4 linked regions of the Caenorhabditis elegans genome follow. The protein of the gene in region 2 interacts with the protein of the main gene of each other region in a pairwise test. Each region holds a gene or a part of one and is shown on either strand. Other genes may lie near its edges. The genes, in order: Y79H2A.3, prx-13, abi-1 and athp-1.

Evidence for each region.
Region 1: the proteins of prx-13 (region 2) and Y79H2A.3 interact in a two-hybrid assay, tested with the Caenorhabditis elegans proteins (one large-scale study listed by BioGRID).
Region 3: the proteins of prx-13 (region 2) and abi-1 interact in a two-hybrid assay, tested with the Caenorhabditis elegans proteins (one large-scale study listed by BioGRID).
Region 4: the proteins of prx-13 (region 2) and athp-1 interact in a two-hybrid assay, tested with the Caenorhabditis elegans proteins (one large-scale study listed by BioGRID).

The regions. Positions count from the first base shown.
Region 1 is NC_003281.10:12,047,547-12,055,865, forward strand, and holds the start of Y79H2A.3 (C2H2-type domain-containing protein), read right to left. Parts: upstream 4,758-8,319; 5' UTR 4,748-4,757; coding exon 4,631-4,747; intron 4,571-4,630; coding exon 4,465-4,570; intron 4,414-4,464; coding exon 4,262-4,413; intron 3,696-4,261; coding exon 3,435-3,695; intron 3,377-3,434; coding exon 3,253-3,376; intron 3,181-3,252; coding exon 2,951-3,180; intron 2,901-2,950; coding exon 2,513-2,900; intron 1,559-2,512; coding exon 1,479-1,558; intron 1,418-1,478; coding exon 1,256-1,417; intron 1,209-1,255; coding exon 1,089-1,208; intron 1,039-1,088; coding exon 888-1,038; intron 140-887; coding exon 6-139; intron 1-5. Other genes in the region: arx-3 (Actin-related protein 2/3 complex subunit), read right to left, coding at 5,148-5,168, 5,940-5,960, 6,040-6,130, 7,003-7,062, 7,115-7,248, 7,530-7,616.
Region 2 is NC_003280.10:7,249,651-7,257,348, forward strand, and holds prx-13 (Peroxisomal membrane protein PEX13), read right to left. Parts: upstream 2,366-7,698; 5' UTR 2,354-2,365; coding exon 2,300-2,353; intron 2,249-2,299; coding exon 2,166-2,248; intron 1,701-2,165; coding exon 1,433-1,700; intron 1,379-1,432; coding exon 1,240-1,378; intron 1,077-1,239; coding exon 782-1,076; intron 730-781; coding exon 576-729; 3' UTR 501-575; downstream 1-500. Other genes in the region: skpo-3 (peroxidase), read left to right, coding at 1-27, 80-182, 239-328; lsm-4 (putative U6 snRNA-associated Sm-like protein LSm4), read right to left, coding at 2,757-2,903, 2,954-3,031, 3,263-3,403, 3,446-3,451; ada-2 (SANT domain-containing protein), read left to right, coding at 2,912-2,945, 3,770-3,882, 3,939-4,399, 4,445-4,718, 4,769-4,997, 5,055-5,597, 5,730-5,866; F32A5.8 (DeHydrogenases, Short chain), read left to right, coding at 7,372-7,452. UniProt on the Caenorhabditis elegans protein: Component of the PEX13-PEX14 docking complex, a translocon channel that specifically mediates the import of peroxisomal cargo proteins bound to PEX5/prx-5 receptor.
Region 3 is NC_003281.10:5,686,247-5,694,536, forward strand, and holds abi-1 (SH3 domain-containing protein), read right to left. Parts: upstream 6,485-8,290; 5' UTR 6,461-6,484; coding exon 6,332-6,460; intron 6,285-6,331; coding exon 6,199-6,284; intron 6,153-6,198; coding exon 5,711-6,152; intron 5,220-5,710; coding exon 4,628-5,219; intron 4,144-4,627; coding exon 3,983-4,143; 3' UTR 3,861-3,982; downstream 1-3,860. Other genes in the region: arle-14 (ARF7 effector protein C-terminal domain-containing protein), read left to right, coding at 6,768-6,824, 6,873-6,968, 7,009-7,333, 7,408-7,544; B0336.13 (Transcription initiation factor IIA small chain homolog), read left to right, coding at 7,802-8,088, 8,203-8,290.
Region 4 is NC_003281.10:10,878,416-10,886,608, reverse strand, and holds the start of athp-1 (PHD-type domain-containing protein), read right to left. Parts: upstream 4,844-8,193; 5' UTR 4,646-4,843; intron 4,249-4,645; 5' UTR 4,240-4,248; coding exon 4,174-4,239; intron 4,123-4,173; coding exon 3,991-4,122; intron 3,425-3,990; coding exon 3,053-3,424; intron 2,519-3,052; coding exon 2,412-2,518; intron 1,402-2,411; coding exon 1,121-1,401; intron 45-1,120; coding exon 1-44. Other genes in the region: C44B9.3 (C2 domain-containing protein), read left to right, coding at 6,514-6,621, 7,040-7,285, 7,666-7,982, 8,035-8,193.

The sequences.
Region 1 (8,319 bases), on a different chromosome or scaffold from region 2:
CGAACCTCACACCTACACACGACAGATGCCAGCGTATTATCACTTCTTCTCGACGTATTCACAATCAACATTCTGGCTGCAATAAGTGCCTCCCGAGCCGTCATTTCGATCGATTCCTCTGGAAATTTTCCAAGTTTTTCTTGAAAATATTATTTTCCAAAAAAAAAATATCATAATAATGATAGCTATTACGGGAACACAGAATTCTGAGAATGCGTATTACACAACATATTTGACGCGCAAAATATAACTATATCTCGTAGCGAAAACTACAGTAATTTTATAAATGACTACTGTAGCGATAGCGCTTGTGTCGATTTACGGGCTCGATTTTTGGAAAAAAAAAACAAAATTTTCGAATTTTGTAAGCGATATTCAATTTTCTTCGTTTTTTCGTATTCCTTAATCATTTTTGTGCTTATTTTTTAATGTTTTATCCATTAATAAATTAATTTGATTGAAAAACGTCTAATTTTCGCGTCATTTTGATGAGCAAACTCCTACAGACATATTTTCCGTAATAGGCAGGAAATAATGTAAAAAAAATAAATATACTTAGGAGTTTACTCATCAAAATGACGCGAATATTAGACGTTTTTCAATCAAATTAATTTATTAATGGATAAAACATTTTAAAAAAAAGCACAAAAATGATTAAGGAATACGAAAAAACGAAGAAAATTGAAGAATATCGCTTACAAAATTCGAAAATGTTGTTTTTTTGTCCGAAAATCAAGCCCGTAAATCGACACACAAGCGCTAGCGCTACAGTAGTCATTTAAAGAATTACTGTAGTTTTCGCTACGAGATATAGTTATAGTTTGCGCGTCAAATATGTTGTGTAATACGCATTCTCAGAATTCTGTGTTCCCGTAATATAATTCTACCTCCATCACACGCGACACTGTCTACAAGACCCAGAACACTCTCATAGACATCTTTTTCAGACGATTCTCTGCATAAAAGAGACGTTTGCACGAGGCGCCGAGAGACTGGCGCCCATGAGGAAAGTTCGAGGGTTTTTAGTTTAGAGTGAAGCTGAAAATATAAATTGTATATTTCAATTTCTTAATTAATATAGTTTTTACATGAATTCGCTTCTGAAACAATCCCGAATGCCTCTGAAGCCATTCCATCAGAAATGCTTGCTTTTTCTCGTCTGTTTCAGCGCCGAGAAGAATTCTGATAATATCCGGAGCGGTGAGGAACTGGAAACGATTAAAGCTACTATTAAGTCAACTATTAGTCAACTAACAATATACTGCTTAAGGTGAGCATAGGATCGAATGTGTTGATTCACAAAAATCGGATTTTTTGAGAAAACCTGCCAGCAGCACTGACAGGTCACCTCATTTGCCGCTTCATCTTCCACCATAAATTCCAGTCCAACATCGCATTGGGTTTGAACGAGGACCTCCTGGAAGGCAAGATTATTGGAATTATTATTTTGTTAAAAATCCAAAAAAAAAAAACCGCACCCTATTAACTTTCCAAACTCCTTTAACGTCGGTTTCCGCGTTGGTTACTGTAGGGGAATACGGAACAAAGAACATTGGATCTGCAAAATATAGGTTTTTTTTTTCAATTTTCAATATAAGTTTGAAGATTCCTGAGCGTGTCGTTAATTTGGCAATGTCGCGGGGGCGGAGCGGGTGTCGGTTTTTCAAAAATTATCTTAAATTTTTGGTTCTTGTTCTTCTTTTTAGAATAAATTAATTTTTTTTTCTCATCAATATAAACAAAATTAGATTTTAAAAACCTCATATTTTAGGTTAATTTTCTGAAAATTTTCGATTTTTTTTAAATTATCGTTTTTCGAACTTTTAAAAAATTTTTTCGATTTTTTAAATTCAAAAATTGAAAATTTTTCGTTTTTCGATTTTTTTGATTTTTATAATGCGAAAAATGGAAAATTTTTCGTTTTTCGAATTTTTAAATTCGAAAAAGTTTCGTTTTTCGATTTTTTTATTTTTTTTTGATTTTTAACAATTCGAAAATTTTTCTTTTTTCGAATTAAAATTTTTTTTTTTCGTTTTTCAAATTTTTTCGATTTTTTAAATTCGAAAATTCGAAAATTTTTCGTTTTTCGATATTTTAAATTTTTTTTTTTCGTTTTTCAAATTTTTTCGATTTTTTAAATTCGAAAATTCGAAAATTTTTCGTTTTTCGAATTTTTAAATTCGAAAAAGTTTCGTTTTTCGATTTTTTTATTTTTTTTTGATTTTTAACAATTCGAAAATTTTTCTTTTTTCGAATTAAAATTTTTTTTTTTCGTTTTTCAAATTTTTTCGATTTTTTAAATTCGAAAATTCGAAAATTTTTCGTTTTTCGATATTTTAAATTTTTTTTTTTTGATTTTTAACAATTCGAAAAATTTTCGTTTTTCTTCATTATTAAAAACTCGAGTAGTAGAACCGCGCGGCAGGCTTGCAGTCGAAGCCCCGTCCCTAATACATTGTGAAATCAACGGAGCGATCGTCCTGGAGAGACTGTAGTATAGGAGTGTACTAACTAAAATCAATTCTAGTCCTCATCGCCGCAGTTTCAAAATGTTGAGCGCTGAAAACATGCTTCTTCCATGCCGCTGCCATTTTCTGTGGTTCATCGACAAGATTGGCGTCGAACTCGATGTAAGTACAGCACGAAACACAGAAACGGAACATTTTCCCGGTTGTCTCCTTGAAATCATCGATAACTTCCAGCGGTGGATCCGGATAAACACGAACATCTTCGGATAGCTGGGATTTTATAAGACTCGGGAAGTGAGACAGTGTACGCGCCACTTTTTTCGTGTCATTCTCCAGTGTTAACGTGGATATGAGCATCTTCAGTGCTTTCGCTCGTCTTTCAGGGCCATCTAGTTGTTGAGCCAAATAGGAATTGTAAGAGTGAATCATGTTCTGGAAATTTTGATTATATTTAATTTGTGCAACTCAGTGCGCTCGCTAACCAGGTATTTCATTGCGTGATATTCCGAACTAAAATGCTCCAGGACTTGATCATCCCCATTCACTAGTGCGTAGCAAATTGTGCAAATTCGTTCATCACCAGCATTAATGAGATATCGATAGCCACATGGCTGGCTCAGGAGCCACGAGCCATCATCGTCCTTCTCCGTCCAGTGAAGCTGTGCTTGAGATTCTCCAGTCTTGAATTCATCGAAGATCTCTTGAGGGTGAACTGGAAAGGTTTTGAATATTTGAAATTTGAATATTTTCAAATTTTAAAAATTTTGTAATTCTAAATTCTAACATTCATTTATCGCCGACAAAACCGCCGCTCGTTGTTGGTGCATTGTGCTCTCACAATGATGAGCACGTGATTTTTCCTTCGTGTACTTCCCTGCCACCACAACCGGAGCCACCTCGTTGCAAGTCTGAATAATGATATCGAATATTCTTGAAATATATTAGTTATCGGTAATAAATACATACACTACAATGCAGAACACTGCGATTCGCGTCATTCGGACACTGCTGAAACGTCACATCCACCTGATCTTCGATTCCGAACTTTGCTTTACCATCAGCAGTGCTGAGTGGCATTCGTAGGATGCTCGGAGGCTGAAGCCCATCGATTCCACCGTCTCTTGCGAAAATTCGCTCGGCCGCAGAACGATATCGTTCATATTTCGCATACTCGTCATCTTCGCATTCTTCTTCGATCTGCTCCTTCTCGTCACACTCACATTCGTCCTGAATTGATGGGAAAACTCAAAAATCGTGTTGAAATAATGGAAAATTGTAAAAAATTAATATTTAAAAAAAAAGGTATTTTCTCTCTTTTATGCAGAAACCCCGCTCTCGATTTTGAACATATAGACCCAAAATGAGCTCAAATAAACGAATTTCGTAACAAAACTTCTCAAAAATTGTTCAAAAATTTTTTCTGGCGGTTCAAAATTAGCTAAAAATCTCGAATTTTGTCCACTTTTCAGTGTTACAGAAGTCTGAAGTTAACTTTTTTTGGAATTATCATCTTTAGTTTATCTCATTCAACTTCGTTTATTAAAGTACATTTAATGCCGATAGAATATATACTTTAATAAATGAAACTGAATGAGATAAGCTACCAAAATATGCAATAAAAAAGTCAACTTCGAGCCGCTGTGACACTGAAAAGAGGCCAAAATTCGAGATTTTTAGCTAATTTTGAACCGCCATAAAACTTTTTTGAACAATTTTTGAGCAATTTCGTTACGAAATTTGTTCTTTTGAGCACATTTTGAGTCTATACGTTCAAAATCATTCCTGCACATTACCATATAATTCCGAATATGATCCATTGAATTGAGATGAGCATCCGCCAACTCATAAGTGTCTCCAACTTCGTAGCAAGTAGCACACGTCCAGAAATTCGTTTTTTCTTGATTCGAAACTCCGACTTGTTGAATTTCCTGGCATTGGTGGAGGCCTAATTTTCCAAAAATGATATTATAAATTATCCAGAATATCCCGTACTCACCAATGATGGGAATCTTCTTCAGCTTATATCTTTCAAGCATCTCCGATACCGCCATAGTTCCATGAATGGTGGATTCATCCCGGAAAAACTTGTGCAAATTCCACTTCTAAAGGTAACAAATGAATTTTTTTCCCCAAAAAAAAAAAGGAAATTCTCAAAAAAATACCTTCACATGTCTCTTGCTAGCACGATGCTCCAATTTCTCCTTTTCGCTTGCAAAAATCGATCGACAAGCGATGCAATAGCCATCGCTAGTCCAAATTTCGCTATCGTCTTCTTCCATTTTTCGAGATCTAAATTATTAATTAGGAATAAGAATTAGGAAAACGAAAAAAAAAATCTTCGGGGAAAAAAAAGATACGAAATGCGAAGAAATAACGCAAAATAAGAAATATCGAAATATGTCGAAAATTGCCGGGGAAAACAAAATTGCTGCATTAATGAATATAAAAATGTAGAAAAAAAAAATATTCAGAAGAATAAAGGATTCAGGTTAAAGCAAATCTTCAATGGGTCGTGATAAAAAATCGAGATAAACGGGGGGAAGAATTTTTTTAAATGTACACTGAAAAAATAAACAAAAAAATCACATAAATAGCTGGGGAATTCGAGATGGAGCAATATAATTGGTGATAATTTTTTTTTTTGGTTGGTAAATTGATTGAGGAAGACTTGACGGCGGTTTAGACGAGTGATGGGTGATTCTGAAAATTAAAATTTTTTGAAAAATTATTTAAAGGCAGAGTGTAAATAGAAAATCGAATATCTATTAGAAAAAATTCGAAAAAAAACAACGATTTTCAAACTCGCGCCAGAGACATTCTCATTGGAGCGCGCCGTGTCTTGTGTCGATTTACGAGTCAATTTCAGCTTTTTCTGGTTTTTTTGTGCTGAAAATTCATTTTTTCGTGTCATTGAACATTTTATTATCATAAAATTCCCCTATTTTGAATAAAATCGATAATTTGTCGATTTTTTGATTTTCCAGAAAATTTAAAAATCGAATTTCAAAAAATAATACTATTTAAATTCGATTTTTAAATTTTCTGGAAAATCAAAAAATCGACAAATTATCGATTTTATTGAAAATAGGGAAATTTTATGATAATAAAATGTTCAATGACACGAAAAAATGAATTTTCAACACAAAAAAAACCAGAAAAAGTTGAAATTGGCTCGTAAATCCACACAAGACACGGCGCGCTCCAATGAGAATGTCTCTGGCGCGAGTTCGAAGATCATCGTATTTTCGCGATTTTCCGCTGAAATAGAATGTCAGGAATTTTCTAAACATAAATATTCGAAATATTCGGCACTCCCGGATTAAAAATTCGATGAAAAATGTTATTTAAAGACCCATGCGCACTTCTTTTTGTTAATAATAAAACTCCAATTTCAACGGGTTTTTTCACTCTCAGAATTAGGATATTATTTGAAAATTGAAAATTCATCCTTCAAACCTTGCAACAACTTACCCGACAAAATTCTATCGTTTCCTGAACTTTTTTTAAAACTATTTTAATTGCCGAGAAATGACTTAAAAATCAAAAAAAAAAATTAAATTAAATCACAAACCTTCAAATCCCAAAGTGCAACAATTCCGTCAGTTCCACATGTTGTGAATTTCACAACATTTCCGACGGTTCCAGAGTGAGGTAGGATTTGACTGAAAAAATTATTTTTTTTTTTGGAATTTCTGTTTTTTTTTTGTTCGGTAGATTTACGAGCTCGTGTACAAAAACCGAACAAAATTTTTTTTTTTCAAAAAAATTTTTTTAATTTGATTTGGAAAGGAAATTTCGTTAATTAAATTTTTTCGATTTTCTCTGAAATACGGTAACCGGTCTCGAAACGACGAAATGTTGTTAGTACTGTAGTTACAAATTTTAATTGAAAATTTCCGGCAAATCGGCAAATCGGAAATTTGCCGGAATTTAAAATTTCCGAAAAATCGGCAATTTGCCAGAATTGAACATATCCGGCAAATCGGTGAATTGTCAGAATTGAAAATTTCCGGCAAATCAGGAAATTGCCGGAATTGAAAATTTCCGACTAATCTACAAATTGCCGGAATTGAAAATTTCCGGCAAATCGGTAAATTGCAGTAATTCAAAATTTCCGACTAATCTACAAATTGCCGGAATTGAGAATTTCCGGCAAATCGGTAAATTGCCGGAATTGAAAATTTCCGGCAAATCGGCAATTTGCCAGAATTAAACATTTCCGACAAATCGGCATACCGAAAAATTGTCAGAATTGAAAATTTCCGGCAAATCAGAAAATTGCCGGAATTGAAAATTTCCGACTAATCTACAAATTGCCGGAATTGAAAATTTCCGGCAAATCGGTAAATCGGCTTCGTTTCTGCGAAATTTTTTCCGATTTTGAACAGTTTTATTTTTGATGAATTTTTTGTCCGAATTTTTTGAGATTCCAAAAATCCTACGATTTCGGGGTTATTTTATGCATTTTTCATTAAAAAATCTGGGAATATTTAACGCAAAACTGCAAAAAATTGGCGTTTTTCACAAAACTCACGTAATTCGATTTTGATGGAGTGTCTTCAAGGCGACGTTAATCTTTTCCGCAGCATTATTTCTATAAAAATTGGAGGAATTAAAATACTTTATTTTTGATGATATTTATTCACCGATCGATATTTTTGAACAGCTGAAGAGCACTGTTAACCGTCGATGACTTGGCCGCTGATGGGACATCCAATTTGCAAACTTCTTTCAAAACATCTTGAGACACTACAAAGAGCACCGGCGAGCAGTCGTGACCCTATAGAAAAGCAGATAAATCGATTTGTAAACTTAAAAAAAAATCAGTGCCGCATAGAAAAATGGGCGGGGTGTGCAACCTTTTTTTTAAATGTTTTTACAACCAAAACATCTTCACAAGTTTATTTATATTCGAAAAAAGATTAAAAAAACAAGTAAAATTGAATTTTTGTGTGGAAAAAAATCAACAAAAAACCGCGCGCCGCAGGGTTGCGAAATTACGCTCCGCCTCTTTTTCTGTGCGGCGACGCTGCTTTATCTGCAAAATTTCGTGAAACTTACAGCCGTGACAACACTGTTCTCAGTAATCCATTCGACTGTTGTGAACGGCAGATGAATGGTCAGCAAGTTTTGAACTTTTTGGCTGTCCTGGAAATAGAGGAAAAAATCGATATTTTTTTCGAAAAAAAAAATGCATAGACACCAAAATGCGCTCAAATTAACGAATTTCGAAATTAAATTTCTCAAAAATTATTGAAAAAATTTTAATGACGGTTCAAATGACCGAAATAGGTCAAAAATGGCTAAAAAATGACTGAAAAAGACGAAAATGGCCAAAAAATTACCTAAAATTGGCAAAAATGATTGAAAAAGACGAAAAATGACCGAAAAATGACCTAAAATTGGCAAAAAATGACCGAAATTGGCTAGCAATGGCCAAAAATGACTGAAAAAGACTAAAAATGGCCAAAAAATGACCTAAAATTGGCCAAAAATGACTGAAAAAGACTAAAAATGGCCGAAAAATGACCGAAATTGGCAAAAAATAACCGAAATTGGCTAGAAATGGCCAAAAGTGACTGATATTGACTTCAAAAGACTAAAAATGACGGAATAAGACCAAACCTGACCAAAAAAGTGGTCAAAAATGACAAAAGATGACCGAAATTGGCCAAAAATTACAAAAATTATTGAAATTGACTAAAAACGACCGGAACTGACAAAAAATTGGCCAAGAGTGACTAAAAATGACCGGAATTAGCTAGAAATGGCCAAAAACACTAAAAATAACCAACTTTTGGCAAAAAAAAATATCGGAATAGGTCAAAACTAACACAAATTGGTCAAAAAT
Region 2 (7,698 bases):
ATTCAAAAGAACACGAGATGGAGACAGGTTTGTATCTATTTGAAATTTTAAAAACTCAGTAAAATATATCACTTTTCAGATTCTATTACGAAAATCCGGGAGTGTTCTCTCGCCGTCAACTTGTCGAGATTCGCAAGAGCTCTCTGAGCAGAATTATTTGCGATAACACAAACACAATATCAGTAAGAAACATTAAATTCAGCCTCTAAGCTCAATTTGAACTACTAAACATTTTCAGACAATTCCACGAGAAGCATTCCGAGTGGGCCATATGGTTCCATGTAGTCAGATTCCGTCGATGGACCTCAATCAGTGGCGAGACTTTTAAACGACAAAAAATGACAGCACATTTATACTTTTAATTCAATATGTTTGTTCTATTTTTCACATTCCTTTTGTCACAAATGCGGGGTATGGGCAGAAAAGCTCACTTCAAATTCTCTCTCTCTCAATTAATTACTAGGTTATAATTTCATTCTCTCTGGAATTGTTTCATGATTATAGTGCGAAATAAAACGTTTATGAAATTCGAACTACCCGTTTTAAAAAACACGAAAAGAAATAATGAATAGGAATTATTGAATATTTGAATTCAAATCTCTTGCTGGAAAAGCGTTAACAAATGTGTCTAAATTGCTCTGTTGAGTAAGTGGAGGAGATTGTGATTGTTTTCCGACAATTCTGACGTAGTTAATTGGAACAAGTCCAATACGACTTCCATCGGCAACACTAAAATATGAAGAATTAATAAATATCTAATCAGAGAGCTTTTTGATGCTACCTTGCTAAAAGCCATCCTCTAACTCTGGGTTGTTCTTCTTTTGGAGCCACTCTTAACGTTTCTCCATTCATGAAGCTAAGCTCTTGCTCATTTGAGGCTTGAAAGTCGAAAAGTGCTTGAGCAGTATAATGTGGAGCGGCTCCAGTTGCCCATTTTCTCTTCTCTTCAGCAGCTTGTACCATCTGACTGACACATCTATAGATGAGCCATGGTCCTCCAATTGCAACAACCCAGAAGAGAGCAGCAGGCCAGTTGACACTTGCTGGAGTTCTTGTGGCACCAAGAACGTCTGTGGCTGGAAGGAAAATTACGATTTTGGAAAATTATGGTACAAGAAATAAACCAAAAGAATATAGATTATTTCGAAAATGTAGTCAGAATCATTATTTATCGTATTATTCCTAATTTTAGATATTCAAACTATATTTCTCAATTCTAAACAAAATTTGAACACTTACCATACGGTTGTGATGTTCCCCAAGCCATTTCAGCAGCGCTTGCATAACTTGCTGGTTTCAATTTCAACATAACCAGTAGCCATCTCCAGAAACGATATACCCATCGGAAAACTGCCAAAGAAACAACTACTGATGACAACTGGAACAATAGAATAATTATTATCAGATTTGTTTTTTTCAATAAAAAACTCACCTGCGTCTTTAATCTTCCAAATTGCTCTACAACTCCAATAACTGCTCGAAAAGAACTATAAACTGCATTATGAGTTGAATTGAGCATGTTGGCGACAGATGAGACTGCATTTACAACTGATTCGATTGATTGAAAAGCGCCTCGAGACTGTTCTTCTGCAAGTCGAGCAAAATTGCTGTCAGGTCCTTGACCATATCCCATATGGTTGAAGCCACCACCAAATCCACCGTAACCCATTCCTCCTCCATACATTCCCCCACCACCATACCTAAACAATATACAATTTTATTAATACAAAATATTTTCAAATCGAGGCTGCGCGAAACGTAGGCCCCTTTGAGTTATACAGTAACCCATTCTCTATCATTTCGGTACTGACTTTATTCGGTAAATTACCCAGACATGATATTTTACGATTTTGCGTCAAGGATACGGTACCCGGTCTCGAAACGACACATTTTTCTTAAATATGAAAAGGTGTGCGCCTTTAAATAGTACTGTAACAGCAAACTCTCGTTGCTGAGGGACTTTCATCGTTTTTTCATGCTTCTTCTCTCTTTTTTATTAGTATACTTGAATTTAAAATTAATTTATCGGAAAAACTACGAAAAATCCATGAAAATAAGGCAGCGACGAAAGTTTGAAACTACAGTACTCTTTAAAGGCGCAGACATTTTAGCATTTACGAAAGAGCATTCAAAAAAAAAAAAAATATTTAAAAAATAAAACTTACATTCCAGACCCTGGAAACGTATTCATTCCATATCCTCCACCATAACCAAAACCTGTATTGATCATTGGATTCGACATTTGATTCTTAAATATTATCGATTAGTAGGAGTTTCAAAACAATTTATCAATAATTACATCAAATGACCTTGGCGGCAGCGGAGGTGGTTGATTTGTTGGAGGTGCGGACATTATAATTTATCTGTAATAATAAATGGAATGTCGTTATTCGATTTTGAAAAATGGATTAAATTCAAGAAAAAATAAAAGAAATGGCAACTATGAAATTGCCGTTAGTCACATTGTGGACTACAATCAATGACTGCAGCGGGCGGTTGATAAGGACAACGTCCCATACTAGACTACATTGTAGTCTAGTAAAAGAGTGGGAGGACAGATGAAAGATCTTAAGATATTGTTGAAGTATAATTCAATTTATTGTAATAAAATTTCAAAACATGTGAAACAACCCGACTTGGGGAAGATCAGAAGAGACGGAGGAAGGTTTGGTTTTTGGGTAAAAAAATAATTTCAAATACATAAATTATTTAGAGTAAACGAGAAATTGTTATCAGCAATCGAAGCACTGCAGGAATTATCGAGCTCCTCCGCGTCCGCCTCGGTTTCCACCACCTCCGCGGTGTCCTCCACGTCCTCCTCGTCCACCACCACGACCACGGGATTGCTCGCGCTGCTGTTGACGACGAACTTCGTTGACTTCAGTTTTCACGAGATCGACCACCTGGAAGAATGGGAAATGTTATGTTGTCGAAGAGAAAATCAGGTACTTACTGTTTCTGGAATTCTGAGATACTTGATAGTAGATCCCCGGACATACGCTTCTGACATTTTGAAGAACTTGTCACCGTCCTGTAATTTAACATGTATTGTTAGTCGCAAATTTGCATCAATCCGAGAGTTTTAGATGTTTGAAATATTGAGCTGACATATGAATGCAAATTAAATATGAAAGGTTCTTTCTAAATTAGAATCTGTGAGCCGTTTAAAACAAAATTATGTTTTTTTTCAATAATAACGAAAAGAAATTTCTGAATAGCCAGTTTCTCCTGGGCTAACCATTTAATTAAACGAAACACTTACTTTTGATGTGAAAATAACATCCACCAAATGAATATTCATCCACGAATCGCAGGCTTTCAGGTGACCGTTATAAGTCTCGCCGTTCTTCAACTCCACAAGCATCGGGTGGTTTTGAGCGGTTTTGAGAAGAGAAAGTGGCAACTGAAATCATACACTATTTGAGTTCAGCTTAATTCGACTTACCACCATGACTATATTGATTTAGTGGGGTTGTGATTGTTTTTCACTAGTAAAACTTAAAGTGAGACAATCTGCAAAGAATAAATTAAGATTTTAAACTGAAATTACGGCGAAAAGACAATTCGAAACAAAAAATTCCGATAAAAAAAGATTTTAATGCACACAATATTTACGTTAAACAAGGCGACCATGCGTCATTTCGGAGGGTCGTTGGTGGATGATCATTTGAAAACAGGGTTCACCTCTGCAATCGATTTTTCTTTGTTTTCATCTCAAGATTATTAGTTTTATTTTAAAACATGATTTGAGGAATTTTAATATTTATAGGTTCAATGGCTGATGATACCGGAGAACATCCGGTATGCTTCAACTGCACATTACGAGTCGACCAAACCATTCATGTCAAATGCTTTGAATGTCCTCTGCGAATTTGTATCCTCGTGAGTTGACAGATTGTGAAGTTTTTAAGAACATTATTTTATTTTTAAAATTTCAGTGTTTCCAATGCGGCGCGGAATCACCACCACATCGCCGAGGTCACAATTACGAGCTTGTCAAGCCAACAAGTAATCCCGAAGCAATGAGCTGGACACACGAAGATGAATTCGAATTGTTAAAAGCTGCTCATAAATTCAAGATGGGAAATTGGGGAGAAATAGCTGAAAGTATTGGTCGCGGAAGAAAAGATGGTCATAATTGCAAGGATTACTTTGAAAAACATTTCGTGCGTGGATGGATTGGACAATTTTCCATAAAAAGTTCAAGTTGGGATCGAATTAAATATGGGATGTATATAAATCAAACATTAGACAGTGTGCTACAAAAAAACTGTTTGGAATCAACGGAAAGAATGCTTCTGATTCGAGACGCCGTTCGTGCATCTGGAGAAAGCTGGGATGAAAACGATCCGAAACTTGCGATAAAAGTGCAACAAGTATTAGAGCAGTATGTGCAAAAGTAAGTGAAAATGTCCTATTTTTCATATATTTAGAATTTCTTCAGAGTAATCGATGGTGACATTGAAACCAAGTATGAGCGCCCAAAATTCCTTACAAATCAATATGAGACGGAGCTTAGCCCAGATGACTGTGATCCTGATAATGAAAGAGATATGAAATCGAAGCGATCAGTAAAACAGGAAATAAATACTGATGATAGTGATAATGACAATTCGCCGGGCCCGTCTTCCAGTTGTCGGAAAAAGGGGCCTCCGAGTCCAAAGAGAAGAAAAACTACTCGAGTTATGAGAGAATCAAGCAGTGATTCGGACGATGATGTGAGTTTAAGGAAAATAACTAAATTCAGTTTTATGTGTATTTTTTCCAGAAAAGTCAAGCTTCTGATAAAGACACCTACCACGGCATGGAACGCGAAACAGAAGAAGAAGATCCTCCAAGCGCTTTTGAGACTGCACAGGAATTTGATACAGAAGATGAAGAAGAAGAGAAAAAACCAAAGAGAGGAACAGCTTCGAGCTCAAAGAGACGAAAGCGAAGGAGGATGTGGGTTTCGAAAAAAGATAGAAGATTGCATGAATTCCGTAAAAAGATGAACCGTGAGCAGAAACAAGGAGAAAAAAAGTTAGAAACTCTCGGCGCAATTTGTTCTTTAGAAGAAGTTAAAGAGCTCAGAAGTGCATATCCTCGTCTACTTCATGAAAGTGGTGTATCAAAGTCGGAAACTCGTCCAAAAATGAGAAGAAGTGATGAGTTGAAAATTCTTGGATACAATAACGAACGTGAAGAATTGGAGTGTGAATGGTTCAATGAAGCTGAACAACTTATCAGTCGCCTCACAATATCTGCTACGGAACCTCAGAAAGATCAGAGACTCGATATGGAAAATGATATTAAGTTCGCCCGTTTGAGACATTACGTTCGTCTACTCGGAATTCGGAAGGCTAAACGAAATACTGTGCTTGAACATGACAAGATAAATGAATTCATGAAATTCTACCAAGAAGCATGCTACGCAGCAGCCAAACGTCCAGTGAGCCAGCAGGAGATAATGGATTCACGTACTGAAAAGGAGAAGCTATTGGCAATGACTCAACAATTCCTGACTAGAGACGAGTATCGTAGCCTACGAGCATCCATTGAACGTATCGATAATGTAGTGGAACGGATCGAAGTACTTCAGGATCTTCAGAAAAACGGTATTAAAATTTTTATTTATATTAAAATCAATTTAAAATGAACAATTTTCTTTAGAAAAAAACATGACAACTTTGTCCTATTGAAAATTCATAAATACCGTTTGAAATTCTTATTATTATTTTATTTTTCAGGCGAGACCACTCTCAAGAATGCTCCAGTTGAACGCAAATCGAAGAAAAAGATGAGAAAAATCGATTGTGAACAGAAGAAAAAGATTGCTACCGAATGGAGCAAGTTTAAAAAGTGGCACACTGAAGGATGGGAGTAATTTTATCTCGTATTCGATTACCTATTTATAACATATTATTATTAATTTTCCCCGTCTCTGTTTGTCATATTTATTTTCACTTTCTAATTCATTTCCATCCCTTGATTCTCTAACTCATTACAAGCTCTGTACAATTATACAATTACTCCACCGTCAAAAATCTGTATTATGTTTTTTTTTTCATAATTTCATTTGGTCCTAATACATGTCTTCTCAACCTTATCAGACTGTTCACTTGTTTACTCAAACAAAAACTCGTCATCTCCTAGGAGCACAAAAACTGAGTCACAGAATGGAGACATTGTAAAAATACAATATACAAATTGTTTGCTCCTTTTACAACGAGACGCAGAGACAGGACAGTCTCCGTTTCGCAAGGACACTCGGAAGATGGCAGTCGGGTCTCTCTCTCACCTCTCTCGTTTTGCCCCCAATTTTCTCTTTACTATTAACCAATTTTTCTTTTTTCACACAATTTACCACGTCGCTTTTGTTTTCAAGGAAATCTGAATCAATCTTAAAGTTTTCTAAAAATAGAAACATGAGAAAAGTGGGCGGAGTCATCTGAAATTGATGAGATGACAAGATATTTAGTAGTTTTCATTGGAAAAGTAACTTGTCTTCATCTGAAACAACATTTGACACTTAATTTCGTATTTACTCCTCTCAAAAATCATGACTTCACCTGATATTATTGGAAATTGTGTTGCAGACTTTTTCGGTTTGTTGTGCATAAAAATCTCTTCATTTCTTTGTAATTTTAGAAAAGCTTCATTTCGAACAAAAACTTATTACGCTAACGCGAAATTTGGCGGTTTTTGGGCAAAAAAATACGGTGCCCGGTCTCGACACGACAACTTTTTTTAAAATGAAAACAGGCACGCGTCTTTAAAGAGTACTGTAATTTTTAACCTTTCTTTTTGCAGAATTTAATTTTTTCAGACTTTTTCGATAAGAATACAAATTTAAAATTCAAATATAACAATAAGAATCAACGATTTCAAGATATCGAGAGACAAATCATGAAAAGCGAAAAAGATCCTCAGCAAAGAGAGTTTGTAATTACAGTATACTTCAAAGGCGCACACCTTCTCGCATTTAACAGAAAATTGTCGTTGCGAGACCGGGCACCGTATTTTTGGCACAAAATCGAAACATTTTCAGCCTGAATAATACCAAATTTAAAAAAATATTTAAAAATACTGATAAAATGGAAAATGTAAGTAATCAATTCCTTTACATTAATTACCCAGTAGGAAGTATCATATTTTCCAAAAGCTGAAGTCATCTTTCAAAAATAATACAAAATTAATTTTTAAACGTTATATTCCTCTTTTCGAATTTTAGAAAAACCCCGCCGAGGTTCATTTCTCGTAACAAACGTTGCTAGTGACGGTCTCACCGCTGTTGCTGTCACCAATCCGCATCGCAGGTGATCTCTTCGTTACGATAGAACAATTGTAAACGTCACTTTTGATAGATGCTCTGCTTTCAGATTTCAAATTATGGACGACGAGTTGGCTGAAGCAAGAGGAGAAGGTTCTGGAAGGAAAAGGGAATTTCATTCAAGAACAAATGCATTGGATGTTAGTTTTGAAAAATATTATAAATAGAAATGTCTGCGGCTACGCAAAAATTCAGATAATAGTCAATAGGCAGGCGTAGGCATATATGTATTAAATCTTGGTTCTCTCACTTTTTGAGTTTTTCATAAAACTCTCGAAGATTTAATTTCGTAAACCTTCCTATTTTTCAAAATTTATAATTTCAGTTAAAAAATTGTTATGTAAAAAGTTTATCTTAAAACTGTTATTTTAAGATTTTTAACTTCA
Region 3 (8,290 bases), on a different chromosome or scaffold from region 2:
TGTTTTGATTTCAAAAATTGCAGTCAAAGTTTTGATAAATTGTTACTAGAGACTAAAAGTTCAAGACAGAACACGAAGATCATTTTAAAAGCTATTCTCTGTATGAATTAAGATACATAGGTGAAGGGATTTCCCTCAAGAAAAGTTTTTACACAATACATATTTTTAGGGGAAAAAAATTCACAAAGAGCAAAAGGATGGGAGAAACAAAGGGCGTTGAAGAAGAGGAGGTACTCATAACCTCATGACGCAGTTCACTTTTTTTTTCAATCGGTTCTTTTTTCTCCCAAATACCATTGGGAAAGGGGGGGGGGGGTTTGTTCGAAAGTGTCAACACAAACACAAAAATGAAATAAAAAGGATCATAGTATTGGTTTGGTAAAGAAGCTCTTAGAAAACGCCAGGCAAAAAAAAAACACATTCCGATGAAGAACTCTGAAGCTCATCTTTGAGCTCGTGGAGCCAAGAAAAAACTCAATGAGCATTGGACAGCTGGAGGGCAACACCAACAGCCGGAAAACAAGACATTTTAAAACTTTAAAAATTCTTTTATAGAAATAAATGTCGGCGATATTGCCGGTGTGGTCTTTCAATTTTTATAAAATAAAACCTATCCATTTTGTTGGCGTTTCCTCTTTTTTGGAAATTGTTTTTTCTTCGGATAAAAAATTATCCACAAAATTTTGATAAAAATATGCAAATGTTGGAATTTTCATTTATTCCGGGAAATTAAAGAACGTAATAACAGTTTTATTTGGAAAAAAAAGTTGCAACTTTGATCTAAAAATTTTTAACAGAAAAATCCATACAGTATCATCTATTAATCTCATAAATCAACACCAAAACTGAAAAATAAAGTATCTGTATCAAAAAGCACACAGACAGAGAAATGTTTACAGGCAGTCTAGTTTGTTCACATTTTGACGTAAATACTCAGTCATTGTCGTAGGTACTCAAATTTACAATACGATTAAAATTTTCTTGATTCTCAGCGCTAATTTTTGATCATTTACCGGAATTTATTGGTGTCAGTGAAGTTGATCTTGTTAACACGGAAAAACGGAAAAATTCTACAAAAATGTCAGACTTTTTTGGTGAAAATGAATTGATAAAAATTGTGATTGATAAGGAAAATTGGTGGTGAATTTTAAACTGTGTGATTTTGATCTGATCTTTTGCAATATCTGGTTAGTTGACAATTTATCATGTTTCTGAGAGCATATTCCTCAGAATTAAATTTGTTTTTATTTTGCTAGTTGTCAACTTTTTAGTGAATCTAAAAGTCTAAAAGGTTTTGAAAATGAAATCAAAATGCTTTAAATTCTTTTTTAAATCGAATTTTCATTTTCTTAGAAACGGATTTCCAGAAAGGAAGAATAAAAAACTAAATCCAAGAAACAGGAGATTTTCGCCAGAACGATTTTTTTTGAATAACTCAATTTGTGGGGATTCTTTGAAATTTGGGCCGGTCTGGAATTGAAGATTTTATTATTATTAATAGGAAAATTGCTCGATTCAGATTATTGAAATAGTCTTGAAAATATGAATGTTGAATTATTGTTGAATATTTCTGAAAAAAAGGCTACTTGCGACGTGGCCTAGAAAAAGAGAACAATCGGCCACCAATTTTTTTAAATACTAAATAATCTGTCTTTTAGTGATTTTTCTCCGTTATTACCAATATTTTTCATTAATTTCTTTTTTTGGCAAAAAACTTGAAAATCAAGGGATAAATTGAGGTACCGTTCTCGTTTATGCAACGTGGCCTAAAAAGCAGAAAGTTCGGCCACTAATTTTTTTTGGCATATTGAAAGAAAATCGGCCATAGATTTTTTAAATGAGCCTTTAAAACTGATTTTCGATCACTGAAACAACGAAAACAAAAAGAGTAAAGCAACTTGAAGGTTTTCAAATAAAAATAAGGAAGATGCTTGAACTCTTGTTAAAGAACATTCCAGATAAATGGATTTTGCAATAAATAAAATAAAATAAAAACAGGTGAGTTCACATAAAGATGTCTATTTATAACTATCAATGATGACTCTGGGGTTTACTATTTCCGAGGGTTTTTTGCGAAAGAACGGATCGGTAGCCGCCCCTGTGAAGAGAGAAAAAGATTGACGAAATATGTAAATAGAGAATAGACAAGTTGGTGAGCTCTTTCTGTTGTGTGTGTGAGAGAGATAGAGAGAGTACAGAGAGTACAGAGATATGGAAAGACGTAAGAAGAGGAGCGTACCGACGTCACGCCCTGGTAGGGGAGGGGAGAAGGGACACAGGACACTCTGAAAAGATAGAAAATAGAGAAAAAAGAGCCACAAGAACACTGAAATGAAATGTGCTTTGGTTTAAAAATAAGGGAACTTTTGAAAATTGAAAATACTGAAATGCGCGTATGGAGCACCAAAATTTCTTTGCAATTCAGATTGCAATTATTACCAAGTTGCAAGAAAATACAAAAAAAATAACGGTACCCGGTCTCGACGCGACCGAGAGTTTCGCAAAAGAGAGTGCGCCTTTAAAGAGTACTGTAGTTGCGAAATTCTGTTTTACGCAATTGTGTTCAATTATCATCGATATTTTTTCTTTTCGAAAAATTAGTTTTTCGAAAAACAGCTTTAAAAAGGGGTGGATAAAAATTGCAAAAAAAAACTGAGAAACTACGGTAATCTTTAAAGGTACACACTCTTCTATGCCTGAAATTTCCGGTCGCGTCGAGACCAGGTTCCGTAGTTTTTCGTCAGAAATTGTGTTTAATAGCAACAAGATTAGATTTCATTGTTATACAAGAGTTAAGGTCGGAAAAAAAATGTTTATCAAAAAATAAATATGCCAATTCAAATTTGTCCCATGAGGTATTTGAACCGATTTAAATATAATTACTGGTACTTTTTGTATTAGATGCTTTTGAATGGAAGATTAACCGCAGTTTAAGAGCACCAACAAAACAACAAACCGACTTTTCTTAATTGAGGTCTCGTGTTTTTCGAAAAAAAAAACAATGTTTTGTTTTTCTGACTGAAATGTTTCTCGAATTTTCCAATTAAAGCGAATTTTTGTTTCTTTTTATGAGCAGAGTACTCTGCAGAGTTTCATATTTTAAAGTTAAAAGATAAAAAAATACGGTATGCGGTCTCGACACGACACTTTTTTGCTAAATAAAAAGGGATGTGCGCCTTTAACGAGTACTGTAGTTTCAAACTTCCGTTGCTTTTAAATTTTCATGGAGTTTTCATGCAGCATGCAGCAACAAATTTTTGAAAGTACTGAACTCTTTAAAGGTGCACATCCGTTTTTATCCAATAAAAAATTGTCGTGTCGAGACCGAGTACCGTATTTTGGCGCAAAAATGACAAAATTTTGCGTCTGTGCAATAGTTAAGGTCCCACCGCGATCCAAGTCATCTTATTGGAAATCGCGCGGGAATTTCAACTGTTCAAGAATTCTGCTTGTATTTTTGACCTTTGTTCCTCCTCTAAGAAAATCTGTGTCCACCGCCCACCAAAAAAGATACAATTCCCACGCCTTGCAAACTCTTTGGCGTCACTATTCGTCGTGCCGAACATGAATTATTTAAAATTCTAAAATAGAAGAAAAAATAAACTAGAGAGGAGAGGAAAAGAAATAAGAAGGCACAAAAATATAAGAAAATGAATGAATGTGTGTGCATGAAGAGAAAATGAGCAATCTCATTAAATAGGCGAGCCCCTAGGAAAACCAAAAGAGAGTAGTACGGGGGCAGTGAGAGAACGAGCACATGCGTTCAGGAAATGCGTCGAGACTCGAAAATAGCAGTCGTATTGGCTATTTTTAGGCTTCTCACTGCTGCAAACGAGGGGACCACTGCTTCCTTCATGATTACATATCCATCGTTTATTTTTGGCTTTTCACATACAAGTACTCGAGGCAAAAGGCAATATATGAATATGAATAAAAGTGAGATTAAAAGCAATTGATTTAGCAGGGTTAGCATTTCTTGTTATCATACTGGAACTACGTAGTTTCCAGGGAAAAGCCCAGTGACTCCATCCAAGACACCTTCATACCAGTCGTCATCGTTCTTTTTCAGTACGTAGACAATTGCGTTCTCGCGAAGTGTCAACTCGTCTTCTTTTGCAGCATCATAGTCGTACAGGACCCGTACTGAAAAAAAAGATTGGTTTTTTTCGAAAATGTTTAAATTGACAAATATAATTGCTTTGTAACATTAAAAATTCTGCAAAAAATCGCATTTTACAACTTAAGATTTCGATTCTTTTTGGATTTTTTTGATACTCCGATGTTTTTAAAGGAAATTTATTTTTCGTTTTTTTCGAAAATAAAAGCTAAAAAGATAACTTTTTAAAAAATCAAAGCTTATAATTTTCAAAATTTGAAAATTCTCAAAAAAAAAAAATTTGGAGATATTTGAATTTTTCAAAATCACTTTCCAATATCACAAAATTTTTTGTTTTTTTCTCTTTTTTAAATTTTTATTAAATTTAATTTTTTTAAACTTTTTTCGGTTTTTATAATAAATTTTTCACTAACAATTTTAGCCAATTTTCTAAATCGTAAAATAATACAGAAAAGCTTAGAGAATTTTTTTCCGACAATTTTTCAATCAAATTAAAATCTCCAAAAATACCTTTTTCCAAATACTCGTTGGGCATCCATCCAGCACTCGTATCAAAGAGACTTGGTGGCTGACTCGAACTGTACGATTCTGTTCTACCAGCAAACACTCCATACGCTGATGACCCACCAACTGATTCTGGTGGAGGTGGTAGATCATCCATATCATCTTGTGTTGGCATTCGACTTGACATTCCAGTGAGCAAAGAATTTGGTGGAGGTGGAAGATCATGTCGGTTCACCGTTGATTTTCGAATAGTTCCATAATTTTGTTGTTGCATTTGTTGTTGTTGTTGTTGTTGTACCACACTTCCCGGTGCAACATATCCAGTATAATTCATAGCTGGTGGTGGAAGTGGGAATGTTGGTGATTCTGGACCTCCAGCACTACTTTGTGCAGATGATAGTCTGGGAATAGAAAAGCTACCATCCACTGTAGTCCGACCACCAGCTCGAATAGTTCCGTAACGATCAGGTTGATAAATGGAATTATAGTCTGATGATCCGTGTTGACTTCCGCTTCCACCACCACCGCTCATATGATCTCCGAACTCTGATCCGTGGCTCATTTGACGGCCGATTCGTGATTCTGATTGTGGTGTGACCTGTAAAAAGTAATCGGATTATGTTAGAAAAAACTTGATTAATTTTTTGAAAAGGAAATGAGCTGATTTTTTAAAAATTAGTTGTTTAGTCTGAAGTCGACAAAAACTAGCCTGAAACATTGAATTTCATAAAAAGACTTCTAAAAAATTTCAAAATTAATTATGTGATTATTCAATAAATACTGTATCTAACTGCTGTAACAAGGATTTCAGATTCTTATTCAGGCTCGCTCTAAATTTTTTTTCGATATTTTCAGAAGTCTCATTATGAAATGCGGTCGTTTTGGGTCAAAAAAACCGTTTTTTGAATAAATTTATCAATGGTTCACTTTTTTTTCAATATTGAGTGTATTTTTCAGAAAAAAAAGTTTAAAATTTAAAATGTATAAGTTATGTCAGAATTTTTCGCTCCCTTTTTTTTTTGAAAACGTTTTGTCAAAAACACGAAAAGCAAATTATTTTCAGCCTCTATGAATATTTCAAATGTTCACCTGTGGCAACCGATAATCCGATGGAGCAATTGATGGAGCATACGGTCTCATTGTTCTTCCTAACGTAGCCGTTCGTTCACCAGCATAAACTCCATACGCTGGAGATTCATTGTGAAATTGTGATGGAGAACTGCCAGAAATTGATGAAGTTGCTCTTGAGATTGGTGCTGCTCTCGGTGGATCCGATGTTCTGACACCATGCCCTATTCCGTCAAGAACAGAAAAATCGATGGGCGTTCGTTGATATCTCTGCTTTTCATCTGGGATTGCTGGTGCAATGATTTTGGGTTGCTTGAATAATGTTTTATTGGTTGTGAGAGAACCAATTTCTCGTCTTGCAAGCTTCTCTTTATGTACATCAACTACTTGGCTAACATATTGAACTTGATTTGTTAAAGAGTTCACTTTATCGGTTTGTAGAGCAAGCATATCGTGTAAATCTCTGAAAAAAAGATTCATAATTAAAACAAATTAATTGAAATACTTACGTAACCATCTTGTTAATCTGGTAGGCTACGCTGGCGAGTGCCTGGATCGCGAATTTCTTGGATTCCTCTAGCGCAGCAGATTTATTCTGAAAACGTTTAATTCATAAACTTAAAAGAAAAAATTAAACCACACGTTTGATTGTATATAATTATCCTCACAATACGCGGCAACTTGTTGAAGATTCGCATGACTCGTTTCCAGTTGAGCTCGATTATCGGGTATCCGTCGCTCGATGAGCTCTTGAAGATCATTAACACTCATTCCGCCTTCCCCATTATGTAGCATCTGTAACAAACTAAAAGTTAACTAACGTTTAGAAAAATATTTTAAAAATAATAAATTGACAGCAGAAATTTCATGAAAAACACTCAAAGGAACTGAATGAATAAGAAATTAATGAGGGCGTGGTCACAGAATGCAACGCGCGGCGCGCTTTTTCGCAAGTGGTACGCACATGTTATTTCCCGCGAGGAGAGCATATCGAATAATAGAATTTCCTCGGATATATTCAAATTAAATCGATATAAATCATATTTCCTACTAAATTTCTGAACCAATAATTCTAAAAATGAGCTCCAATGACGTTCTCGCACAAATTGCCGGTCTGGCGAAAGCTGCAGCAGAGGTTTGAAATTTGAAATTTTAATGTATTTAATTTTTGTATTTTTTTCAGCTTGAAAATGATTTCTCGACGGATAGTGAAATGCAACAAGATTCCGAGATTTGCGATGAAGTCGATGCGGAGCTTTTTGACGATTTCGAAACAAAGGTACGCTTTTGAATAAAGAAAATTTTAACAAAGTTCCCAGAAGTTGCAGCCATCATCTCGAAAGGAAAGTTCAGGAACGAGCCGTCGAACGAGAATGGCACACCGAGAGCTTCAAGGCCTCCAGTTCGCGAATCCAGGAGATGAAATGTCTCGATTTTTGCCCGACTCTGTGGATATTATTAGCACCAACCGCTCGAAACGTGTAGCCGCGGAGAAGCAGGCGGATCTGAGAGACGAACCTTTGCATCATGACAAAACAGGAAAACTTTCGGTTACCGCAAAAGGACAGACTTTGTTTTTCGATCTTTGTGATTGTCTCGTGGTGGAGTGTGATGGGTGCCATTGGCCATGTAAGCAGTGCAAATGTAAGAGATGATATTCATTAACTAAAAATATTTGTTCTAAAAATTCTTTAAACAAAGAAAAATGCATTTTTCAGCTCGCAAATGTCTCATCGGATGTCGTCAAAATCGAAAAGAAATGGTGATACGCGTCGAGGAGATGTACACAGTGACGGAAGCCCCGGGCCCTGTTGTCAATATTAATCCTTATTTTCCGGGCCAAATCAAGGATTAAATGCCTTATCGTTTTATCAATTTTAACCTCTTATGTATGTTCCCCTTTTTCTTGTACTGGTATTATCTATTTTGAACTGTTTTATACATGTCTTTGTGAAAAATTCAATCTCGATGTTCATTAAAAACTAAAGATATTGTTTGTTTTTGTTCTTTTTTGTCATACTAATCCATAGTTTCTCGGTTGATAATCTGAAAATATATCTGGCATCTTCTCGAGAAAAATTTAATCCAACGATATTTCAGAATCTTCCAGAAATGTCGTCATACGCTCTTTACCGAGGGACCACACTGGGTCAGGCACTCGATAAAACTCTTGAGGACATGGAATCCGAAGGACTTCTCACGAAATCTCTTGCTTCGAAAGTTCTGCAACAATTTGATAAAAGCATGAACAAGCAAATCTCGCGGCTTCCAAAAGAGAAAATGAATTTTTGTGCGACACAACTGCTCACTTATCGATATTGTGATAACGTTTGGACGTTTATTCTCAATAATGTCACGTTGAAAGATCCCCAGCGATCGTTTGATGAGCCTATTGATAAGTGAGTGTTTCTTTTATTTGTATTAAAAATAAAAAATCTAGAAAAAAGCAATTGTTTATTAATTTTCTATAAAAATTTTTGTTTCTCGATGATCTATAATTATTAATATTTCAGACTGAAAGTGGTCGCCTGTGATGGTCGTCAAACAAGCCTTCTGCAGACATTGAGCGCCCAGGGACCATCCAAGAGAGTCAATCGAGCT
Region 4 (8,193 bases), on a different chromosome or scaffold from region 2:
TGATGTGCTGGCTTCTTCAGGATCATAATACATTTCTTCGGAATCTGAAAAAAAAAATCGAATTTACAATTATCGGTGAATTTTTTCTTTTTCGGAATTTTTTATTCAAATTTACAACTAAATTGAAAATTTTTAAAATTTCAAAAATAACGTTTCCAGAATTTTACAGAAAATTTTTTAATTTTTAATTTAAAAAAAAATCTAAAAATTACTTTCTTTCAGCATTTTTCAAAAAAAAAAATTTTTAGCAATAAAAAATTTTAATTTTAAAAATTTTATTTAATCGATTTTTTAATTACAAAATTGGCAATTTTTTTCGTTGAAAATTCAAAAATTTCGGTTTTTTTAAAGCGTTTTTAGCATTTTTCAGGAACAGTTTGTTTCTGAACAATATATATTTTTTCAGAAAAAAAAACTGGAAATTCCGAAAAAATTTTCGTAGATATTTCAGATTTTTCTGTTTTTTCACGCAGAAATCCAAAAATCTCAGAGTTTTTAGCATTTTTCAGAAACAAATTTGGAAATTTCTGATTTTCTGGCATTTTTCTTTAAAAAATTGAAACTTTTAAAGATTTTTCTGCTTTTTTAATGTGAAAATATAAAAAATGTTCTGAAAAAAATTGAAAATCTCAGAGTTTTTTGCATTTTTCAGGAACAAATTTTGAAATTTCTGTTTTTGAAGAAATCCAAAACATTAGAAAAAATTGATTTTTTCTGTAACTATTTAGAAAAATCTAAATATTTCGGAATTTTTCATATTTTTTTAAATTAAAATTTTCCGAGTTTTTTAGCATTTTTTTGAAAAAATTGAAAATTTTAAAGATTTTTCTGTTTTTTATGTAAAAATCTAAATATTTCGGAATTTCGGAGATTTTTTTTTGGAAAAAATTGAAAACCTCAAAGTTTTTTGCATTTTTCAGAAACAAATTTGAAAATTTCTGATTTTTGGCATTTTTCCTGGGAAAAATCTAAAAGTTTCCCAGTTTTTAGCATTTTTCTATTTTTTTAAAAATTAAAAAAAAAACGATTTTTGAAGAAATCCAAAACATTAGAAAATTTTTTTAATATTTCTAGAAATTTCAAGTTTTTTAAAAAAGATTTTCAGTAAGCAAAACCTCACCAAAAACCTCCGATTTCATTCGAAATTGTTCAGTTTTAATACAAAATTCCTCAAAAATCTCGTAGCTCGGCTCAACATCAGCATATTTATCATAAAGCCGTCGACGATCTTCTCGTGAAATCTCATCACCAATTAAAACACTATCAATGACAGTTTCTGGATGTCTTGGACACATCCAATAGAAATATGCACGAACATGAATAAGTGGAGGTGTTACACATTTTTGATGCCATATCAGGTCACAAAAGTCACATTTTAGCATTCGTGTCCAGTCGTCTTTTCTGCAAAAAATAATTGGAGTTTTAAATTATATGGTAGGCAGGCGCGGTTTCAGGGCCTGATGCCTGCCTACCTTTGCTTATTTTCTGCATTTTTAAGGGAATTTACAAATTTCTAAGTTTTCTCATTCTATCAACTAGTTGATTTGAAGTTTTTCCGAAAGTTTTTTGAAATTTTTAAGAAAATTTTTCGGAACATTTTTGAAATTTTTCCTCAACTACAAAATTTATTTCAGAAAATTTACAGAAAATTTTTTTTTTAAATTAAAATTTACTTTTTTCAGAATTTTTCAGAAAAAATATTGAATTTTTCTTAACAATTGAAAATCACATAATATTCGAAAACTATATGTTATTTTTCTTCAATAGGTAATTTCTGTCTTTTTCAGGTGATTTTTTGATTTTCAAAAAAAAATTAAGATTTTAAAATCTTGACTTTTTGAATTAGCTAAAACTTTTTTTCCAGAAAAAAAACACATTTTTGATGCCAAATTAGATCACAAAAGTCACATTTTAGCATTCGTGTCCAGTCGTCTTTTCTGCAAAAAAAATAATAATTGGAGTTTCAAGAAGGGATCAAGGGTGCCATTTTTCGATTTTTCGATGTTTTTCAGTGAAAATCGAAACATCGAAAAATTGAAAAAAATGTTCAGAAAATTAACCATAAAATTCGATTTTTTATTTAATTTTGCTTATATTTGTAAGAAAAAAATCCAAATTTCTTCTAAAAATAAGAATAATGTCCAAAATGTGAAGCTAATTTTTGGAAAATCGGAAAATCGAAAAACGAAATTTTTTGATTTTTGATTTTTCTTTTTGATTTTTCTATCGTGTTTTTCAGAAAAAAATCTAAAAGTTCAGATTTTGAGATCATTTTAAGAATCGAAAATGATTTTTTTTGAAGAAAAATTTCGGATATTTTTCGAGAGAAAATCGCTCAATTTCAATACTTTCTGGTAGGAAACTCCTCTTTTTTTTGGCACTTTAGGTCCATTTTTGCTACGAAAACGTACAAATTGCACTCAGCACACACTTCTCCCATTATAGTTGGCCTCTTGTCTTCCATTGCATCACCAGAGAAACAATCACGATCTGCTTGGAATTCCGGTGGTATTGTATACTGAAAAATGTTGGAAAAATTATTTATAAATGTTTGGAATAATATCTAGGTTTCTCGAGAAAATTATTGTAAAATTGGAAATTTTTGAAGGACACAGAAATAAAGAATTTTCACAAAAACTCGAAACAAGAATTAAAAAAGCGTTATTTTTAATATTTTTATCGGAAAAATGGTCTCAAGAACGATAATTTTCAGGAAAAAAGGTCGAAAATACTCAAAAATATTTGTACATTTTTCTGCAAATAAATTGTGTTTTTTTCTGTTTCTATCCTATCCTACAGTGTTAAAAATCCCGATTTTTCTAATTTTTTTTTCACTTTTTTCCCGAAAATCGGATCGAACGCCGAAAATTTCAACGTTTTTCGGGAGAAAAAGTGTTTTAAATATTTTCTGCTAATAAAATTTCGCATTTTTTAAAACTATTTTTATCGAAAATTAAAAAAAAAAATTAAATTTTAAAAAATCCAGAATTTTCGATTTTCATTAATTTTTCAATTGAAGCATTAATTCATTTTTTTGAAAAAACTCCCTTACATCCATGGGATTAGCCATTCCAAGTGCTTTCAGTAGATTTTTATCCCGAAAACAGTCTTGAATTTCTGCAAATTCACTTTTTGGCCCATAAGCAACATCTTTTTTCATTTTCTCGGCCTGTTCCTCATCTCTAAGTCGATTACAATGATATTCAATAGCTTCCCAATTTCGGTGATTTTCATTTTCAACTCGGAGCACTGGATTTACAGACGGCGAGCACTTTTCCGGTGGAAAGAGCCGAACGTTTTCCGGAAGATTTCTACATCGATTACAGTAAAAATTGTCGTCTGGAAGATCGGATGATTCGTATCCAATACAAGCAAGATGAAAGGATGCTGGACACTGTTCACAGCATAGAATGTTACCGCCGGACTGCAAAAAAACATGGAAAATTATTTGGAAATCTGGGCATTTTTTTATTGAAAATTTATGAATTCAGTGGAGAGATTTTTCTAAAATTTGGGATTTTTTTTTCCAATTTTGCAAAAATAATATAATGAGCCTAAGCCTACGCCTAAGCCCAAGCCTGAACCTAGGCCTAAGCCTAAGCCTAGGCCTATGCTTTAGCTCAAGCCTAAGCCCAAGCCTACGCATAAGCCTTAGCCTAAGCTTAAGCCTAAAGGCATAAGCCTAGGCCTAAGCTTTAGCTCAAGCCCAAGCCTAAGCCCAAGCCTGAACCTAGGCCTATAATAAATTTTTAAAAGGGAATTTTTATTCTGAAAATGCTAAAATCATCAAAAATTCGAATTTTGCAGCTCTTTTGGACTAAAAACTTTTTTAAAAAATCAAATAATTTCAGCATTATCTGGTTTTTTTACTTTAAACTCCAGTTCTGAATCGAAATTTTCAAAGATTTGATGATTTTTTGCAATTTTTCTGCCTTTTTCAGGGAAAAATTAGTTTTTTCCAATATTTTTCCAAATAATCAATGTATTTACAGAGCAAATTCCGCATATTTGAGCTTCAGGCCATTTCCATTCTTCCTCCACTTGCTTTTTCTTCTTTCCAGACCCTCTCGCCGACAATTCTTCGGAAATGTGGTGTGGAAAACCGCAAACTCGGCGAATTTCCTACAAAAATTTGGAATTTGAGGCGAAAAAGTGAAAATTTGCCAATTTTACCGGCAGAAGACCGTCGTTTGAGTCGTATTTCAGCTTTCTTCGGCCTTCTTTCTCTTTTTTCTGCATTGATATTTTCTGAAAACTAAGAAAATCAATGAGAAATGATTTTTTAAATGCATTTTAAATTAAAATATCAAAGAAAAAATGAAAAATCGTCATAGAAATCGCAGAAATTCGAATGAATTTTCATGAGAAGCATGATGTCTAGCTGTCTGTGCCCTCCTCGATTCACATACTATTTCTTCGTAATTCGCAATGGAGCGCAGTTGCGTCAAGCCGAAAAAAATTAGGTTTTTTCCTATAATTTCGGAAATTACGGATAAAATCTTGATTTCTTAGGGGAAATTGAAGAAAATTCATAAAAATTTATAATTTCACGCATTTCTTTGAATTTAATTTCAGATTTCAGGTAAAATTTCAGATTTTCAGAGAAATTTCCAGCGGCTAACTTGAAAAGAATCACTATTCGCACCTTTACAGCCATCTCCACAGTCACAATCGGCATTGTAAACCATCGGCAGTCCTATTCGAACCCTAAAACTCATCTCCACTTCTTTTGTCGGCTATTTCCGGTTTATGGCCTTGTTTTTGGCTTGTTTGGAAAGAAAGAAATAATTTTTGTTATGAATATACTTTTTTCAACAGAAAATTGGAACAAAAGCGAAGGAAAACGAGGAAATTGAACAAATAAAAGATTTAAGAAAATTAAACAATAAATAAACTACAGTAATCATAAGCAGCATGGACAGAGTTTCGGCGAGGGTCTCGCCACGATGTTATAAACGGCACATGCGCCTTGAACAAAGTGTACTGTAGTTTTAATTTTAGAAAACTTTTTTAAAAAATTTTTTCCCAGTTCTTCCCAGTTTTTTGTAGTTTTTTATCTTGGTTTCTGTCAGATTTTCCATTAAAAGTATTTTCAATTTTTTTAAAATCATATTATATTTGATATATCACAAAAAATGTAGTGAGATGATGTTGTGTGGTACCTCTGGGTTGAAAAAATGAATTCAAGCGGAAAATAAACAAAAATAAGCACATTTTTAGTACCCAGAACCGCTATTTACTGCTCCTCAATTGAAAATAGAATCAAAATCGCAAAAAATAACCTAAAATCTTAAATTTTGTTTACTTGTCAGTGAAGTAGCTGTTTTTGCATACTTTTTGTGTTTTTTTGGTACATTTACGGTCGATATGTGTGCACCACACACCTGCCAACTTTTGTGCATCTACCAAATTATAATAGGTATACCTTCCATCAACTACTGCAACTCAGACAAATGGACAAAATTTCAGATTTCGAGCACATTTTGGGTCTATAATCCTCTATAATCCAATTATTTATTACGTTTTTCGTCAAAAATTCGAATTTTGTATAAAAAAATCTTATCTTTTGCCCAGATAAAGCTCCAAAACAAGGCAATAAACATCTTAATCTTCAGCCCATCACAAATCAAATCCTTTGTTCTTTCAATAGACATCTACACGTTGTAAAAGGTGCTAATCCCGTCCTTCGACAAGATAACCATCTCTCGAGACGCTCTGTAATTCCAGCTCCGCCTATAATTAGGTGACACCCCCTTCCTCCTTCTACCTGACCATGCATCCAATTAGTCAGTCATTGTGTTATTCTTATTCCAGTCTCTCAAAGTATGTCGATGTATTATTTTATCCGATAAAATCGACATTCTTTTTTTTATTTCGATATTTCCTAGAATTCTCAAATTTTCACTGTTTTCTGCAGAAATTAGCTTTTTTTTTCTCACTGAAATTCACACTTTTTTTTGGATTTTTCCAAATTTCGAAAAATAATTATTGAAAAATCACCGAAAATGTTTGGTTCTGAATTGAAATTTTTTTAAAAATTCGAAAAAACCTATATTTTTTTGGGGAAAATCTTAATTTTTTAGCTTTTCTCTTCAAAAAATTGGCAATTTTCAATTTTCTGAAAGCTTCAGAATTTTCCAATTTTCCTAAAATTCCTTTCTGGTCGTATTAAAAAAACGATTTCCTCGAGTTGCAGAAAAAATTTTTTTCCGAAGTAAAAATTGAAATTTTCTCTAAAACACCGAAAAATTGGAAAAATTTTGAATTTTTGAATATTTTTCTGCAGAAAAAGTTGCATTTTCTCGATTTTCTCTCCGAAAAATTGAAAAAATGGCAGTTTTTGATTTATTTGCAACTTTTTTAAAATAATTTTTAATTTTTTTCCGTTTTTTTTCCTGATTTTCAACAAAAAATCCTTCTTTCAGACACACACTCTACACTAAAATGTCGTCGCCCATCTTCTATGGAATTCTACTATTATTGGTGTGCTCCGTGAGCCCGGTCATCTCTGAAATGTGGCTCCACGTGAATGTTCTCTCTGTGGAACGGAAACCATGTCCAATTGATGAGACCTCATGGGGTACAGAGACTAGTGGATGTGCAACTATGAGCTATATGACTGTGAGTTTTGGAAATTTATAAGATTCCTTGAAAAATAGTCCAAAAGTTTTGGAAAAAAACATAATTGGTTAATTTTCGCGCTAATTTCAGAGTTTTTACAACCAATTTTGCCGAAAAAGTCAATTTTCCTTGAACTTCGCGTCAAAAATATGTTTTAAAACACCATTTTTCCCCGAAAAATCTATCGCAAAATATACATCTTTGCCATAAAATTACTCGATTTTTGGTTTTTTTCTTTGAAAATTCAAAATTTTACTTCTTCACTGCGACCCAAAAAAAGCCCAATACAATGGTAAAAAAGTTTCGAAAACAAATTCCAAAATTTCAAATTTTAGCAGAATTTTTGGTAGTTTCGGGCCATTAAAGGAGCGCGGTTTAGTAGATCACTTTGAAAAAAAATTAATTCAGTATTTTCCAGCTCGACGAACGAATCCTTCCCCACCACGAACGTCGTTCATCAAGTTTCGAGTATATAAATGGAATCGCTCGACCTACAGTAACCCATTGGCCAAAAGGACGATTAAATGATTGGATGGTATCTATTCAATTTGTTTCAGTGGATCCTGTATATGGATTGGCTAGAACTTGTGATCGATCTGGATATATTCGGGTTTTCCAGAATTCTACTGGGGAAACGCCAGAGTTTTTGGAAAGAACACTGCAGGTTAGAAAATTGATCTAAATTTCAGATTTTTCAGGCAAAAAATTCGGAAAAATTCGGCGGATTTTGTTGTGAATTTTAATTAAAAACCTAGTTTTCGAATCGAAAAAAAAGCTAGAATAAAAAAATTCTTATAAAAAATTCGAAGCTAGCGAAAAAATCAGATTTTAGCTGAAAAAATGAAATATTTCAAAATATTCCAAAAAAATAATGGCACGGTTTTTCCGCCTTTTTTTTGCAAAATTCACAAAAATTCGAATAGAAAAACAAGATTTTGATATTTAATTGAATATTTTTATTTTATTTCGAACCTTCTTGCTAAAAACCCCATTAAAAATTGAATTTTAAGTCTAATTTTGTTCCAAAATCCCCAAAATTTCCAGATCCAAGGTCAATGCTTCATGTCAACCGTCAAAGTTCAAGCATCCAATACAGTATGCCCATGGTGTGTAGATGATTCACAAACAACTACTACAACTACAGTAACCCCAGCACCACCATCCACCACGTTTTCTCCATTTTTCGGAACTTCGAACAACACCTCATTGCTCATCGGAATGCTCATTCTTGCGTTTTTCTCTTTGCTGGCTCTCACATCGACTACCGTACTCCTCTGTGTGTATATTAGTGATCGAAAGAAGCCTGAGTTCTTTGATATGCCATTGCCACAGGCAAATAGTACTGTACTTGGCGGGAGGAGGTAAGGAAATTCACATATTTAGATTCAAAAATCGAAAAAAATCAATTTTCAGTAGCGACACGGGCCTCTTCACCACAAAATCATCATCAGAACGTTGGACAGAATACGGATGTGAACCATGGTCATCATTCCAACCATTTAATATTGATTCAACATATAATCCACCAAGAGAGACGACATGTGTCTATAAAGTTACACATCGGGAGGACGA